Linked DNA regions of Tamandua tetradactyla. The protein of the gene in region 2 interacts with the protein of the main gene of each other region in a biochemical or structural test. Links are inferred from orthologs where the notes say so. Each region holds a gene or a part of one and is shown on either strand. Other genes may lie near its edges. The genes, in order: USF1 and GTF2I.

Region 1 (7,117 bases), on a different chromosome or scaffold from region 2:
CCTGGCCCCCATTCTCAGTTCGGAAGACGTACTTGACGTTGGGGTCAGGGAAGGTGGCAGCTGACTGGATGCTGGCAATAGCCACACTGGTTGGGTCCTCCCCAGTTGCCACTGCACCTGAATTAAAAGAGCAAAAGAAAGGTTTATGAGCTACTGCCCTTATCCCTCTGTTCCACATGCATGTCATTTAGAAGGAGGAGAGTGCACAAGAGATGGGCCACGGGGGAGGCCATGATATGCTCTCAAATCTGTTGTTACCACTCACCTTCCTGAATCTGCACTGTCCCCTCTTCTGTTTCAGCTGTTTTCTGCTGCCTATTTGTGAATAAGGGACAAAAGGAGGGATGAGGAAAGAAATGAATGGGAAGCTCACTGATCCAGTAACATATGGCTCCCAAACTCAGTGGCATTCCCAACAGATGCTAGATTAGATTGGAATAACAACAGCTAATACTTACTGAGTGTTTAATATGGACCCAGGCACTGAGCTAAGCACTTAACATGCACTATCTCATTTAATACTAGGAACACCCCTATGAGGTAGGCAGCACTACCTCCATTTTATACACGGAGAAACCAAATCACACAACTAGAAGTGATGGAGCTGGAACCTGAATCCAGGTGTGACTCCAGAGCAAATTCTCTTAGCCATATTACCATTCTCCCAAGCCACCTCCCTCCTGTACCAGTCTACTTCTTCTTGACTCACCCCTTCATCTCTCTGTGAGGGGGCACATCCGAGGACCTGGTCCTTCTCTTGAGGTCTTCGTATCTCCTGCCTCACAGCCCTGTGTGCTAAGTCCTGGGAGAAATCAGGGAGTTTGCAATGAGTCTAGGAAACTGAAAAGCACCCCTAGTTCTAGAACCTGGGCCCCATGAAAACACAGCCAAGAATATAATCCAATCAGTCTCTGCCATTTTGATACCTAGAATTGGGCTAAAGTGGGTGAAAAAGCCACTCTAAAAACGATGTGCTTTGCCCTCTATTATCACTCCAACTCTATCTGGAGAGGGGATAATTGGACTGGAAGACTGAGAAATAACATATCTGATTGGATTATTATAGTCATATGATCTGATATGACAGCAGCTTCATGGGGATTATGAAGACCCATGTTAGACCAACACCAGCAAAGACCACAGGGCCATGACACTGATGCTTCTTCCAGCTTCTCAGCCACATTCTGAATACCAAGAAATCTCTATTCTTGATTCTATGGAGGGGAAAACCAAAGCCCACTGCCACTGCAAACACATCGCTAACCACAAAGACCAGACTTGGCCCTCAGGCCCTATTTTGTTGACAGGGCTCTCGTTTGGGGATGTCCAGATTTATGTCACCTGTTAGAGACCCTAAAGCCCAAGTGCAGCCTCTTTAAGCCCCTGTGGTTTTATTCACCAAGGCTTCCTGCCAAACACATTTGCTAACATGTTGCCATGACAACTCCAAATCAACTGAGCCTCAATAAGAATGAGAAAATTCCAGGCTCAGGGTTCTGAAGGAGAAGAGACAGTGGGGGAAGAATCCATTCACAAGTTGTTTTAGCTTGCCAAGGCTACCATAACAAATACCACACACTGGTTGGCTTAAACAACAGGAATTTATTGTCTCACAGATTTGGAGCCTAAAAGTCTAAACTCAAGGTGTTGGCAGGATCAGGCTTTCTCTGAAGTCTGGAGCATCCTGGTGATAGTTTGCTGGTAATCCTTAACTCAGTCTCTGCCTCTGTCACGTGGCCATCTATCTCCTTCTGTCTCCTACTACTGACTGTGGCCAAACTTCCTCTGCTTATGAGGGTTCCAGTCATAATGGATAAGGCCCACCCTGATTCAATTTGGCCTCACCATAACTAATAACATCTTCGAATATCCTACTTACAAATGAGTTCACATCCACAGAACCAGGGATTAGGATTTGAACATCTCTTTGTGGGGGACATGATTCAGTCTATAACATAAGATGCCTGCCTTTGGACCTTGACAGTCAGAGGACAGGAAGAACAAAGGGTTGAGCAGACAGATACCTCCAGAGAGAATTAGCATCGTTTTACAAAGCAATAAAATAATCCCAACACAAAACAGGTAAGATTTTTATAAACTCTCTCTCCCTATGCTCCCCCAAACCCCAAACCCTAAACCCTTCCCTAGCCAAGGAAAATCTTCATTCTTGGATAAGCCTTGGAAAGCCCGTTCCAAAGAAAGTATTTTTTAAAAAAAGGAACTGAAAGTGAAACTGCCAGAGGAAGTAACACTGCAAGGAGATTCCAGTCCCTAAGGGGAAGTAGCAGTAGTGTTTCAGGACCACCTGCCTCTCCATCCTAAAAGCAAGGAAGAAATGCCCCTCCCGAGGCTTGCAGCGCTGACTGCAGAAGGAGGTAAAGAAAGAGAGAGCAAGGAATAGGGAGGCATCCCTATTATCCACAGCTGTCAGCCAGGTGTAGCACCTGAGGACACCGAGCAACGGGGTCAGGCTACTTAGTTGAATCTCAGTTGGACATCAGAAAAGTATTTATTGAGCCTTAGGGATGTGCGACACGGAAATTGGGATAGGATGTTGTAGCCTGCACACTCAGGCGAGGAGGGACCAGCCAGAGCCCTTGCTAAATCTGGACACAAAAGGGGAAAAAAAATGAAGTCCCGAAAGAAGACAGACGCCTAGACTTTGCCTGGGAATGCGACGTCTCCCTGCAGGCCCACCAACCGGCAGGCGCCGACGGAGCAGGGCACTAAGCCGGGAGCCCGCGCCTTGACCCCGCCAGCCCCGCCGCGCTCAGCCCGCGGTAGAGGGAGCAAAGGGCGCCAGCGGTTCGGGGACCCTCGGTGGCCCGGCGCCCCCTGCCGCGATCGACGGCCGAGGACCGCAGGAGGGCGGGGGCGAGCGCGCGCGGGGCGGGGAACGAGTTCGGCCCACTAAGGGGGTAGGAGATAAAGAATCAGGCGCGGCCCCCTCCCCCAAAACAAAGGCTCCCTCCACAGGAGTTCCCTAACCTAAAAAAACTAAAACAAATTAAAGCTGCTCAGCTCTGCCGGTTCATCACTCTCCAGACTCGCATCCGGTCCTGCACTCACCGGCCAAAGCCGCCTCAGCCGCTGCTTTTCCCGGACGGTGTTCTCCCCACCCCAGACCCGGGTAGCTCCATAGACAGCTGCTCATGCGCGTTCCCAACCCGCGGCCATATTGGTGAGGGGCGGAAGTGTCTCTCTCGACCCGCCCTGCCTGCTTATAGCCATGGAGCCGCCCCACTTCCGTTAGCCCCATCTTGATGCAGGTTGAGGAATGCCGAGGTGGTGGGGTATTGCTGGAGCGGAGGAGAACCAACTGCTGCTGTCCCAGTATAATGACAGTGGAGTTCCTAGTGGCTTTCAGCAGGAGAGCAGGAAGCGGAGAAAAATGACTAACTTGAACTGCCATTTTTGTGCTGGGCAGGGCTTTTTTAATCCCAGGAGAAAAGGGGTTGAGGGAGCCCAGGTTAACTCGGAAGGGACGTCAGCTGGAGGCGCCATCTTTAATAAGGGCTATGTGGGAGGCCATCTTGGACCGGGACATCTCTTTTAAGTGTTTTCTAGTGGAATTTAGGAAAGCTGTCGGATGTACTCCTTGCCATTAGCATCAACCGCACCTCACCCACAGACCCCAATCTTCGGTGTCTGTGGGAGGGATGTTAATTCCTATTCTCCCCAGTCAGGATCTACCCTTAATGGATTTGTAGTAATGTGGTACAATGAAAAGAACAGGCTGTGGGGCTCCACAACCCTGGGCCTCAAACCCACCCCCCGCCTGCCACGTCTTACCTCTGAGATCCTTGGCTGGCCTTTTAACTTAAGTGAGCCTTGGCCCCTTGCTCCCTTAAATGTAGGTATCAGTACTAACCTTACAGAATTGTTACATGAGTTAAATAAAATGAAGGACGTAGACTCTATGCACATAGAAGACCTATCCCAGTTTCTAGCACATATTGAAAATTATGTAAATGTCAGTTTCTCTTCCCCCTTTCCTGACCACTGTGAACCCAGCTCTAGTTTCTAGCCACAGATCCCCATGACAACAACTAAGGAAGAACACCCAAACAATAAAAAGAGATGTTTGCCCAAACATGAAAAGATGATACCTACAACCCAAGACTTTAATAAGCATAATGAAATACCACACTATTTATGTGTAAAAATACAACTTTTATTCCGAAACTTTGCATCTTACTAGAGTGAGACCTGTAGCCTCAGCCTGTTTGGAAAAGCAGTCCTAGAACCTGAGTGACTTCTATCCTGAGATAGGAGGAGGCTATTCCAAAGGGAAAAGGAGAGGCCAGAGAGATAGCTACAGGACCCTTCTTCCCAAAGGTGACTGAAGGCAGAGGGTGGTGGGGGGACCAGGAAGGGGTCAGTCCCCCCAACAAATTTTGAGGCATCCAAAGAGCTTCCTGACACATTCCTGGCAATCTGAAGCTCAGAAGGTCAGAATGTATCCAAGGATCCAATAACAGTCCAGGGCTGGGCATCTCTAGAAGTGTTTGTGTGAGGTAGGCTCTGACCTGGCCTTTTCTTCTCCCTTCCACCCTGGGCTTCCATAAAGGACATCACAGCCTCAGAGGAGGGCAGGAACATGGTTGAAATTCCCCTTCTACTCTTTACTTTGAGAAATCTCTATCTTAAGCTCTCAGCCCACCCTCTGTTCTCTTTGTCAATGACTGCTCTCTCTAGAAACAAGATTTCTTAGGAATCTCCTAAGAGATAAGTGCTTTCTATCTGAGACAAGCTCAGGTAAATCAATCAAGGCTGCAGCCTCCCAGAGTCAAAAAGAGAAGCTGGAGAGCCAAAGCCTATAGAGTTGGGTACTACAGCTGCTCAGGCTGCAGAAGAGACAGCTGTTCAGGGGGCCTGGAGATTCAAAACAACTGACTGGTCCCCTTTACCCAGTGCTTTGGTCCTAATCACAGTCCCTCACTTTTCCAGGGTCAGCATGTGTTTCGAATGCATACGATCGGCGCTGGGGGGGCATAAGGGAGTCAGGGGGCTGGAGTTCTGTGGGGGGCAGACTAAGTCGACTCCGGGGTCCAGATCCTTCTGTACCTTCAGGTTGGAGCTCCAGGCAGCTAAGGGGCCGAGGAGAATGGGCTGGGGTCATGCTACAGGGAAAGGTTCTGGGAATGAAGCTATAGTCCCCGCCCCCAGTATAGGTCTGGGTCCGCTGAACTCCCTGAGCCTCAGTTCTTTGGCGGTCCCGGGCCAGGGCCACAGCAGCATCAAAGGAAAGACTACCCCCATTCCTCCAGGAGGAGCGGGAGGCTCGAGACCCCCAAACTCTTTCCCCAGGAGTCCCATCAAGCCGGCCAGGCCTTGGACATGGGTTTGCAGGTGCCACATGGATCTTGCTACACAGTGCACTGGGTTTCTTGGCAAACTGTGGTTTGGGGGGCACCACAGGCACAGAGCGGACCTGTTGGACCTGAACGAGGGTGGAAGCCAGACGCATGCCCACACCACTGACTGAGTCAAGGGTACAGAGGCACAGATTGCAGCTGTCTGAACTGGGATGCCCCTCAGGTTCCATCTCTTCTGGCCGGGGTGGTTGTGGAGTTGCCTGTTCCCCCTCAGAGGCCTGAGCGTTGCCCTCTTTGTTACTGTCGACCTCCAAGCACTCTATGACTGACCCTTCAGGGAAAGAACCCTTTTCTATATGGTCACCTTCAGCTCTCTGGTCTCCCTCAGCTTCCCCATCTCCACTCTCCCGTTCCTTGCTCACTACCCCTGCTCCTCCTCCAGCTGCGTCTTCTGGGCTTCTGTCTTCACCATTTCCTTGATCTTCTATTGCCTCTTGACCCCCCTTCCCTCTCTGTCCTTTGACCTCATCCTCCCTGCCTCCCTCAGCCTCTTGTTCATGTATAACTTCCCAGCTCTCCTCAGCAACTTGGTGTTCCTGGGTCCCATGTTCTGGGTCCTGTTCAACTTCTGCCTGGACTTCCCCTCCTCCATCAGTCTCTTCCTCTCTCTCATTCTCTCTTTCCTTCTCCTTGTCTTTACCATGCTCCTCTCCTGATTCTTCCACACCTTTAGCCTCATTCTCAGCATCCATCTGACTTTTGGACTTCTCTCCCTTGGCCTCTGTCTCTTCCCCACTCCCATCTCTCAAACTGACCATCATGTCTTGGTCTCCCTTAGCCTCTGCTCCTTCCTCACCAGCCACTCCAGCCCCTTCCTCAGTCTGTGGACATCCCTCAGCCTCCTCCCTAACATCCCATCTGCTTCCAGGCTCAGACTCCTTGTCCTCCCCAACTTCCGTACACACCTGCTCTCCCTCAACCTGTCCTGGAGACCATCTTCTGCACCCTGCTGCCTCTTCTTCCAGATTCCCTGGACCCTCCCAGTTTGAGGATTTGGGTCCCATAAGGGGATCTAGGTCATCGTAGGCACTCAGGAAGACTTCCTCCCCACCTTCCTCCTCTGCATCAGGCCTGGGGCTAGCCAGGTCCAGGGAACAGCAGCTGGGAGCCAGAACAAACTGTCCCTCATCCAGAGACAGATCATCAAGGGGTGGTTCCACAGAGAACTCCTCCACCTGTAGACATGGTGTTGTAGCTCAGGACTGGGCGACCCTATCCACCCTCCAGATCCCATACCACCCCAAAACCCAGCACACCTCCATCTTACCTGAGGCCCAATTCCCAGGAGCTCCTCCAGGTAGCCCATCCCAGGATCGTCCTCCACAGGAGAGAAAGCTGCTCCTGCCGCTCCTGCCTTGGTCACCTCCCCATCCTCCACCCCCACCCACTCAGGATCTGAGCTGCTTGAGTCCTCTAGGAAGGAGAAGGAATCCTGCACCTCCTGGGACAGGGAGTCTTCCAGGGCAGGGGCCACTTCTGCTTGGCCAGAGTCAGCCAGGGAACCAGGGGCTGAACTTGCCTCTGACTTCTCATCTGTTGAGAGAGAGGTAGTCCCAGAAATCCAAAGGGCCAGGCCAGCCTTGACCCTTTCCACATGAGTCTTTCTAGCACTGATAGAGTATAGGCCCAGTGCTCCCAGCACAGACATTCCGCATAGCTGATCCTCTTAGATCAATATCCCTAACTCTTGGCTTGTAGCCTCCTTTTATTCAGCACCTGCCAGGTGCTAAGCACCATGC
Region 2 (7,643 bases):
TAATTTAGTAAAAAGTGGCAGAGTAAGGACAATTGTGGACGCATTCTTTAAAAGCAGAATAAAATAGGAAATATATATAAAATAGGAATTATGTACTTGTGCCCCAAAATTCTGATCCTTTTCTTTATAAAGATATAGTAAATAAAACACTGTAATGTACAAACTCCTATTCTCAGTAAACATCAAATATTACATATAATTCAAAGTTAACACTTATAAAATAAGTGATTGCTTAAGATATCAGCAAATTAAAAATTGAAATTAAATGTAAAATACTTAAACATAGATAAGTTAAGAACATTCTCAAACAATTGTAATAAAATGACTGACTTTCTGACAAGCAGTGGGGACAACCAAAGCAATAGGTTGAGCCTCCAATCTTGGGGTTCATTCATTTGAAACTTAACCAGCAAAGGATAAGCTAAGTCTACTTAAAATTAGGCCTAATAATCACCCCCAAGAGAACCTCTTTTGTTGCTCAGATGTGGCCTCTCTCTCTCAGCCAACACAACAAGCAAACTCACTGCCCTCCCCATGTCTACATGGGACATGACTCCCAGGGGTGTGGACCTTCCTGGCAATGTGGGACAGAAATCCTAGAATGAGCTGGGACTCAGCATCAAGGGAGGGAGAAAACCTTCTCCACCAAAAGGGGGAAAAGTGAAATGAGACAAAATAAAGTGTGAATGGCTGAGAGATTCCAAAGAGTTGAGAGGTTATCCCAGAAGTTATTCTTATGCATTAAATAGATATCACCTTTTTAGTTAAGGTGTAATGGAAAGGCTGGAGGGAACTGCCTGAAAATGCAAAGCTGTGTTCCAGTAGCCATGTTTCTTGAAGATGATTGTATAATGATATAGCTTTCACAATGTGACTGTGTGATTGTGAAAACTTTGTCTGATGCTCCTTTTATCTACCTTATCGACAGATGAGTAAAACATACGGATTGAAAATAAATAAATAATAGGGGAAACAAATGTAAAAATAAATTTAGTAGATTGAAATGCTAGTGATCAATGAAAGGAAGGATATGGTATGTATGAATTTTTTGGTTTTCTTTTTATTTCTTTTTCTGAATTGATGCAAATGTTCTAAGAAATGATTATGATGATGAATATAAGAATATGTGATGATATTGTGAGTTATGTATTATATAACAAAAATGGAATGATCATATGGTAAGAATGTTTGTATGTGGTTATGCTTCATAAATAAATTTAAAAATTAAAAAAAAAGATAGACTTCAATCTACGTATTTTCCAAGAAAAAAAAAAAAGAATTCTTATTAAAACAGCAAAACAAATATAAAATTATGTTTTAAGCACAAGCCCAGTCCTATCCAACTATGGAATGAACATCTTATATAATTGTAAGGCTGTCTCACCATTGACTCAAGAGCAGACATGAGGAACGTCACCACCATCCTGCTCTCCGAAGACTCCTCATCTTCAACAGGCAGGGTAGACATTGCTACTTGGGCCATGATCCCTATGCAAGATAAGTAATAAGTGAATGGTAGAATCCACAGTATTCCTCTAAAATCAAGTCTAGCTCTAACAGTCTTCTATATATTACCTAATTTACAGTTTCCTTATGTAAGAGCAAAAATAAGGCTCAAAAACTAAGTATTTAATTGCTCAAGATTCTTACCCTCTAAGGTAGAGGATCTGTCCCCTAACTTTCCATATCTAGTATTATTTCCATGAAATCAGATCAGTACTGCCCCTCAAAATGAATCCAAATGCACATATAGGACCAGTTCATATTTTACCCAATTAAGTGGAAGAAAAGGTGATGCACTTTACAATCCGGTGATGGTCTAGCATATCTTAACAGAGGAAACAAACGCAAAGTCCCCTTTCTCCAGGGTACACGCTGGGAGAATAGCTAAGGTAGATAAAGAGAATTTATCTACCAAGTAAAGAACATTTCTCCTGTTCTTTCTTTCCAGGAAGGAAATAGCTTTGCAGGGCATCAAATAACATCTAAGATCCCTTTATAATATAGCATTTTATTCTCCTTAGAAAACATTTTCCAATACTTTGGTATCAGCAAGCAGACTTGGATAAATTTCAAACACGATGAAAATATACCACATAAAACCACTAACTGGCAAAAATTCAAAGCAAAATTTTTAGAAATTCTTTATATACTCAAAAAAAGTTATTTTCTCATGAATAAAATACAAAGTAAACACCTGTTAAAAAATTATCCCACTCAATTTATCTGGATGAATCCTACCTGCTAGCAAAATAAAAATATGAAAGGATGATTAAAAAATTAAGGATGAATAGGAATTCTAAAAACATATCTATGTATATAAATTAACTTACTGTTATCCCCTTAGCTAAAGCCACAATATTCCAGAGAACACAAACAAGCCATGAAGAGCTATGAGCATGCAAACTGTTATGATTAAATATTTAAGTAAATATTTTCTCTATTATAAAGATAACTGCCTAGGTTCCACTCTTTTCTTTTGTATAAATGTCTAAATAAATTCATACTGAAAAGTGGCTTAGGCAAAAAGGACAGCAAAGGCGTATTAATTTCCAATAAACAGAACGATCCCTTAAGATTATACTCTACCATTATCTCTTAAAACTCACAGTATTTTTTCATAATCACTTTTCCCATGATTCCCAAGGGAGAAGAAAAGGAGATGTGTTCTCATTTTACAAATGCAATGACTTCTAAAGGATATGTAGCCACCGCCAGAGCTAGAACACAAAGATGATTTTTCTGCCAATTGTTGCTTTCAATTCTTCTCACCTTAAGTTGCCATGATATTATGATGTCATTCACAAGCAATCTGTGGTAAGAAGTGGGAGAGAAGGTCCACACTAACAGACCATGGGCATACCACAGATGATTAGAGGTCACTGTGAGAACTTTTCAGTATTTTTGATGGAAAGAATCCTAAGAAGGACCAACTCCAGTCAGGCTTAATGAGGAAGGGTGCATTTTGCTTGCGGCTTTCTGCTCTCTGGAAATGGATGCACTTATATTCATTACAAGAGATGTATGGAGAACATATTTACAAATATTTATATAAATATGTATAGATATGGCTGTTTCTACCCTCCTCTTCTTTTCTCAAAAAGGACTGACAAAGGGCAGACCAAGCCAGGCTGAGCATGCAGCACCTGCAGCAAGAGGCATGATGCTTACTCCTTGCATGGAATCAAAGCCAGGAGAGCCAGGTTGAGTGTTATCAGGTCACTCATCAGCCACTTGACCTCAGTGGGCTATATATGGTCAGGCTCCTCCTCTGTAAACTCCTCTGTAAATGGAAACTAATTTTGCCGGTTCCTTTTACCTCTGATCTTTTATGAATCCCTTCAATTTAAAGTCAAAAGAAGAATTGGACAGAAAAAAAACAATTTTTTTTTAATATACCTATCATACCAGTACTCTTCCAACTGTCTAATTCAATACTCACAACAACCCTATAGGGGAGACCTTTTATTTATATTATGAGGACACTGAGAGGTGGAGGAGCTTGCCTCTGGTCTGTCTCTCAACTGTTTTACTTTCTTTTAGAAAAGCAAAATGAAATATACATAAGGACTCAAAAAGGGAAAAGATGTTCCATAAGTTACTTTAGCAGGATCCATGTATAGTCTTTTTCAGGTATTCCCTAAAAGGTGTTGTGTGTGTTATTAGAAATAAACAGCAAAAATCACTAAAATGGAAGAACCTTGAAAACATACCCAGTGAAACAAGTAATATACATAAAGACAAATTGTATATTATCATCTATAGGAGATGACTAGAAATAAGGGGAGAAGGGAGGAGTAAAAATAAAAAGTATAAAATAAATTTTAAAATGGTGTTTTGAAATTAAAAAAAAAAAATCACCAAGATATGACTTGTCATATTACACCATGTCTAAACTCAGAGGTTTCTTAATAAAAGAGGCCATGAAACCAAAAATTTAGAGCATTAAATGGGATGATTAGATCCAAATTTACACAAAATGAAATTGGGAGTTTGTACATCCAAACCTTGTCAGTATGAGTTCTTTGAAACAGAAAGGAAAATTACCAAAATGATCTTGTATTAGAGCTGAAGGGATACAGACTGTGCAACAGGACTGAATATAAAAACTCAGAAATGGACAGCACAATACTACCTAACTATAATACAATTACATTAAAACACTGAATGAAGCTGCATGTGAGAATGGTAGATGGAGGAGGGTTGGGAGCATAAATGAAATCAGAAAGAAAGATAGACGTTAAAGATTGAGATGGTATAATCTAGGAATGCCTAGAGTGTATAATAATAGTGACCAAATGTACAAATTTTAAAAATGTTTTTGCATGAGGAAGAACAAAGGAATGTCATTACTGCAGGGTGCTGAAAATAGATGCTAATTAATATTTTAAAATCTCACCTTATGTGTGAGACAAAAGCAAAAAATGTTTAATTGGTATAAAATTTATATTTTGACCAGTGCATTTCCTAATATAACTTATGTAGACACAGCTTGATTGAACACTATAAGTACTTGGAATCTCAGGTAGGACATGAGATTTTGTTGGTTTGTCCAGAGTGATGCCCCGATGAATCCCAAAGTGATCCAATCAGTGAGTGGAAAAGTATTTGCAAAGTCCCCTTCAGGGAATGGTGAGAACGGGGACCAATTCAACTTCCCCAAGTTGAATTCTTGGTATTCTCACAAGCGGTGTGGACAACCAAAGCTATAGGCTGAGCCTCCAGTCTTGGGGTTTGTTTATATGAAACTTAACCCCACACAGGATAGGTCAAGTCTACTTAAAATTTAGGCCTAAGAGTCACCCCCAAGAGAGCCTCTTTTGTTGCTCAGATGTGGCCTCTCTCTCCAGCCAACACAACAAGCAAACTCACCACCCTCCCCCTGTCTACGTGGGACATGATTCCAGGGGTGTGGACCTTCCTGGCAACATTGGAGAGAAATCCTAGAATGAGCTGAGTGAGACTCAGCATCAAAGGATTGAGAAAACCTTCTCGACCAAAAGGAGGAAGAGTGAAATGAGACAAAGTGTCAATGGCTGAGAGATTACAAACAGAGTGGAGAGGTTATCCTGGAGCTTATTCTTACACATTAAGTAGATATCATCTTATTATTCAAGATGTAATGGAGAGCAGCGGACCCGCCCGCCCTCCTCTCCCCTTTTGTCCACCGGCCCGCCGCGCGGCGCCGACGCCCCGCAGCAGCGGACCCGCCCGCCCTCCTCTCCCCTCTTCCGCCTTCACCGGCTCCTCCGCCACCAGCCTCGACAGCCTTGCCACCCTCACCTTTCCTCCTCCAGAACAGCTACTGGGGGAGTGAGATAATACAGAGCAGCTCCCAGAGCCACGAGGGAGATCAAAGGAACGGCGTACCCCATCCTGGAACGGCTGACTATCTGGGAGAACCAGCTCCGGTGAGATCACCAAGGGGCACGGGCTTTCCTGGGTGGGACGGCAAGCGACCGGAGTCCCTCCCTTCCACCTTCCCAGGCCAGCTGATAGAATTGGACAGGCGGTCCCCTTAGGCCGAGGCGGCTGGTGCCCCCACCACGCGAGGCCCCCCGGACCAACTGAGAGAGCTGGGTCGGAAATCCCCAGACTGCGGAGAACAGTGACCGGGGGATCCCTTCCAAACACGTGACTCCCCTGTCCGGCTGGGAACAGTGCACTCTCCCAGGCTGCGACAGCTGGCGCCCTCCCGCCATGCTTGGCGCCCCGGGCCGACTAGCTAATTCGGCCGGACGCTCTCCCGTGCTGCGGCGGCTGGCGACCCTCCCCGCATTCGGAACCCCAGGCCGGCTGGCACTCTTCCAAGACGCTTCGGCTGCCGAACCTCCCCTACAGCGAGAATTTTCCAGAGTTAAAGAACCCACAGCAACTTTCACTGGTGGAACCCGTAGACAAACGTATGCCACGAGCGCCACCTACTGGGCAGGATAAGAAAAACAGAACCCAGAGATTGCACAGAAAAATCTTTCAACCTGTGGGGTCGAACACCCAGGGAAATCTGACTAAATGCCCAGACGCCAGCAGAAGATAACGGATCACGCTCAGAAAATTGAACATATGGCCCAGTCAAACGAACAAACCAATAGTTCAAATGAGATACAGGAGCTGAAACAACTAATGCTGAATATACGAACAGAAATGGAAAACCTCTTCAAAAACGAAATCAATAAATTGAGGGAGGACATGAAGAAGACATGGGCTGAACATAAAGAAGAAATAGAAAAACTGAAAAAACAAATCACAGAACTTATGGAAGTGAAGGATAAAGTAGAAAAGATGGAAAAAACAATGGATACCTACAATGACAGATTTAAAGAGACAGAAGATAGAATTAGTGATTTGGAGGATGAAACATCTGAATTCCAAAAAGAAACAGAAACTATCCAGAAAAGAATGGAAAAATTTGAACAAGGTATCAGGGAACTCAAGGACAATGTGAACCGTACAAATATACGTGTAGTGGGTGTCCCAGAAGGAGAAGAGAAGGGAAAAGGAGGAGAAAAACTAATGGAAGAAATTATCACTGAAAATTTCCCAACTCTTATGAAAGACCTAAAATTACGGATCCAAGAAGTGCAGCGCACCCTAAAGAGATTAGACACAAATAGGCGTTCCCCAAGACACTTACTAGTTAGAATGTCAGAGGTCAAAGAGAAAGAGAGGATCTTGAAAGCAGCAAGAGAAAAACAATCTGTCACATACAAGGGAAACCCAATAAGACTATGTGTAGATTTCTCAGCAGAAACCACGGAAGCTATAAGACAGTGGGATGATATATTTAAGTTACTAAAAGAGAAAAACCGCCAGCCAAGACTCCTATATCCAGCAAAATTGTCCTTCAAAAATGAGGGAGAAATTAAAACATTCTCAGACAAAAAGTCACTGAGAGAATTTGTGACCAAGAGACCAGCTCTGCAAGAAATACTAAAGGAAGCACTAGAGTCAGAACCGAAAAGACAGAAGAGAGAGACATGGAGAAAAGTGTAGAAAGAAGGAAAGTCAGATATGATATATATAATACAAAAGGCAAAATGGTAGAGGAAAATATTATCCAAACAGTAATAACTCTAAATGTTAATGGACTGAATTCCCCAATCAAAAGACATAGACTGGCAGAATGGATTAAAAAACAGGATCCTTCTATATGCTGTCTACAGGAAACACATCTTAGACCCAAAGATAAACATAGGTTGAAAGTGAAAGGTTGGGAAAAGATATTTCATGCAAATAACAACCAGAAAAGAGCAGGAGTGGCTATACTAATATCCAACAAATTAGACTTCAAATGTAAAACAGTTAAAAGAGACAAAGAAGGACACTATATACTATTAAAAGGAACAATTAAGCAAGAAGACATAACAATCATAAATATTTACGCACCGAACCAGAATGCCCCAAAATACGTGAGGAATACACTGCAAACACTGAAAAGGGAAATAGACACATATACCATAATAGTTGGAGACTTCAATTCACCACTCTCATCAATGAACAGAACATCTAGACAGAGGATCAATAAGGAAATAGAGAATCTGAATATTACTATAAATGAGCTTGACTTAACAGACACTTATAGGACATACATCCCACAACAGCAGGATACACCTTTTTTTCAAGTGCTCATGGATCATTCTCAA

What was found.
Region 1: the proteins of GTF2I (region 2) and USF1 form a complex in vitro, tested with the Homo sapiens proteins (2 studies listed by BioGRID). The link is inferred for Tamandua tetradactyla from reciprocal best matches to the Homo sapiens genes GTF2I and USF1.

Annotation. Positions count from the first base shown.
Region 1 is NC_135330.1:14,190,998-14,198,114, forward strand, and holds the start of USF1 (upstream stimulatory factor 1), read right to left. Parts: upstream 3,205-7,117; 5' UTR 3,070-3,204; intron 2,097-3,069; exon of another isoform or gene 1,342-2,096; intron 803-1,341; 5' UTR 718-802; coding exon 710-717; intron 316-709; coding exon 266-315; intron 118-265; coding exon 2-117; intron 1-1. Other genes in the region: ARHGAP30 (rho GTPase-activating protein 30), read right to left, coding at 4,925-6,553, 6,646-6,911.
Region 2 is NC_135349.1:12,201,272-12,208,914, reverse strand, and holds the start of GTF2I (general transcription factor II-I), read right to left. Parts: upstream 3,073-7,643; 5' UTR 2,638-3,072; coding exon 2,610-2,637; intron 1,489-2,609; coding exon 1,385-1,488; intron 1-1,384. UniProt on the Homo sapiens protein: Interacts with the basal transcription machinery by coordinating the formation of a multiprotein complex at the C-FOS promoter, and linking specific signal responsive activator complexes.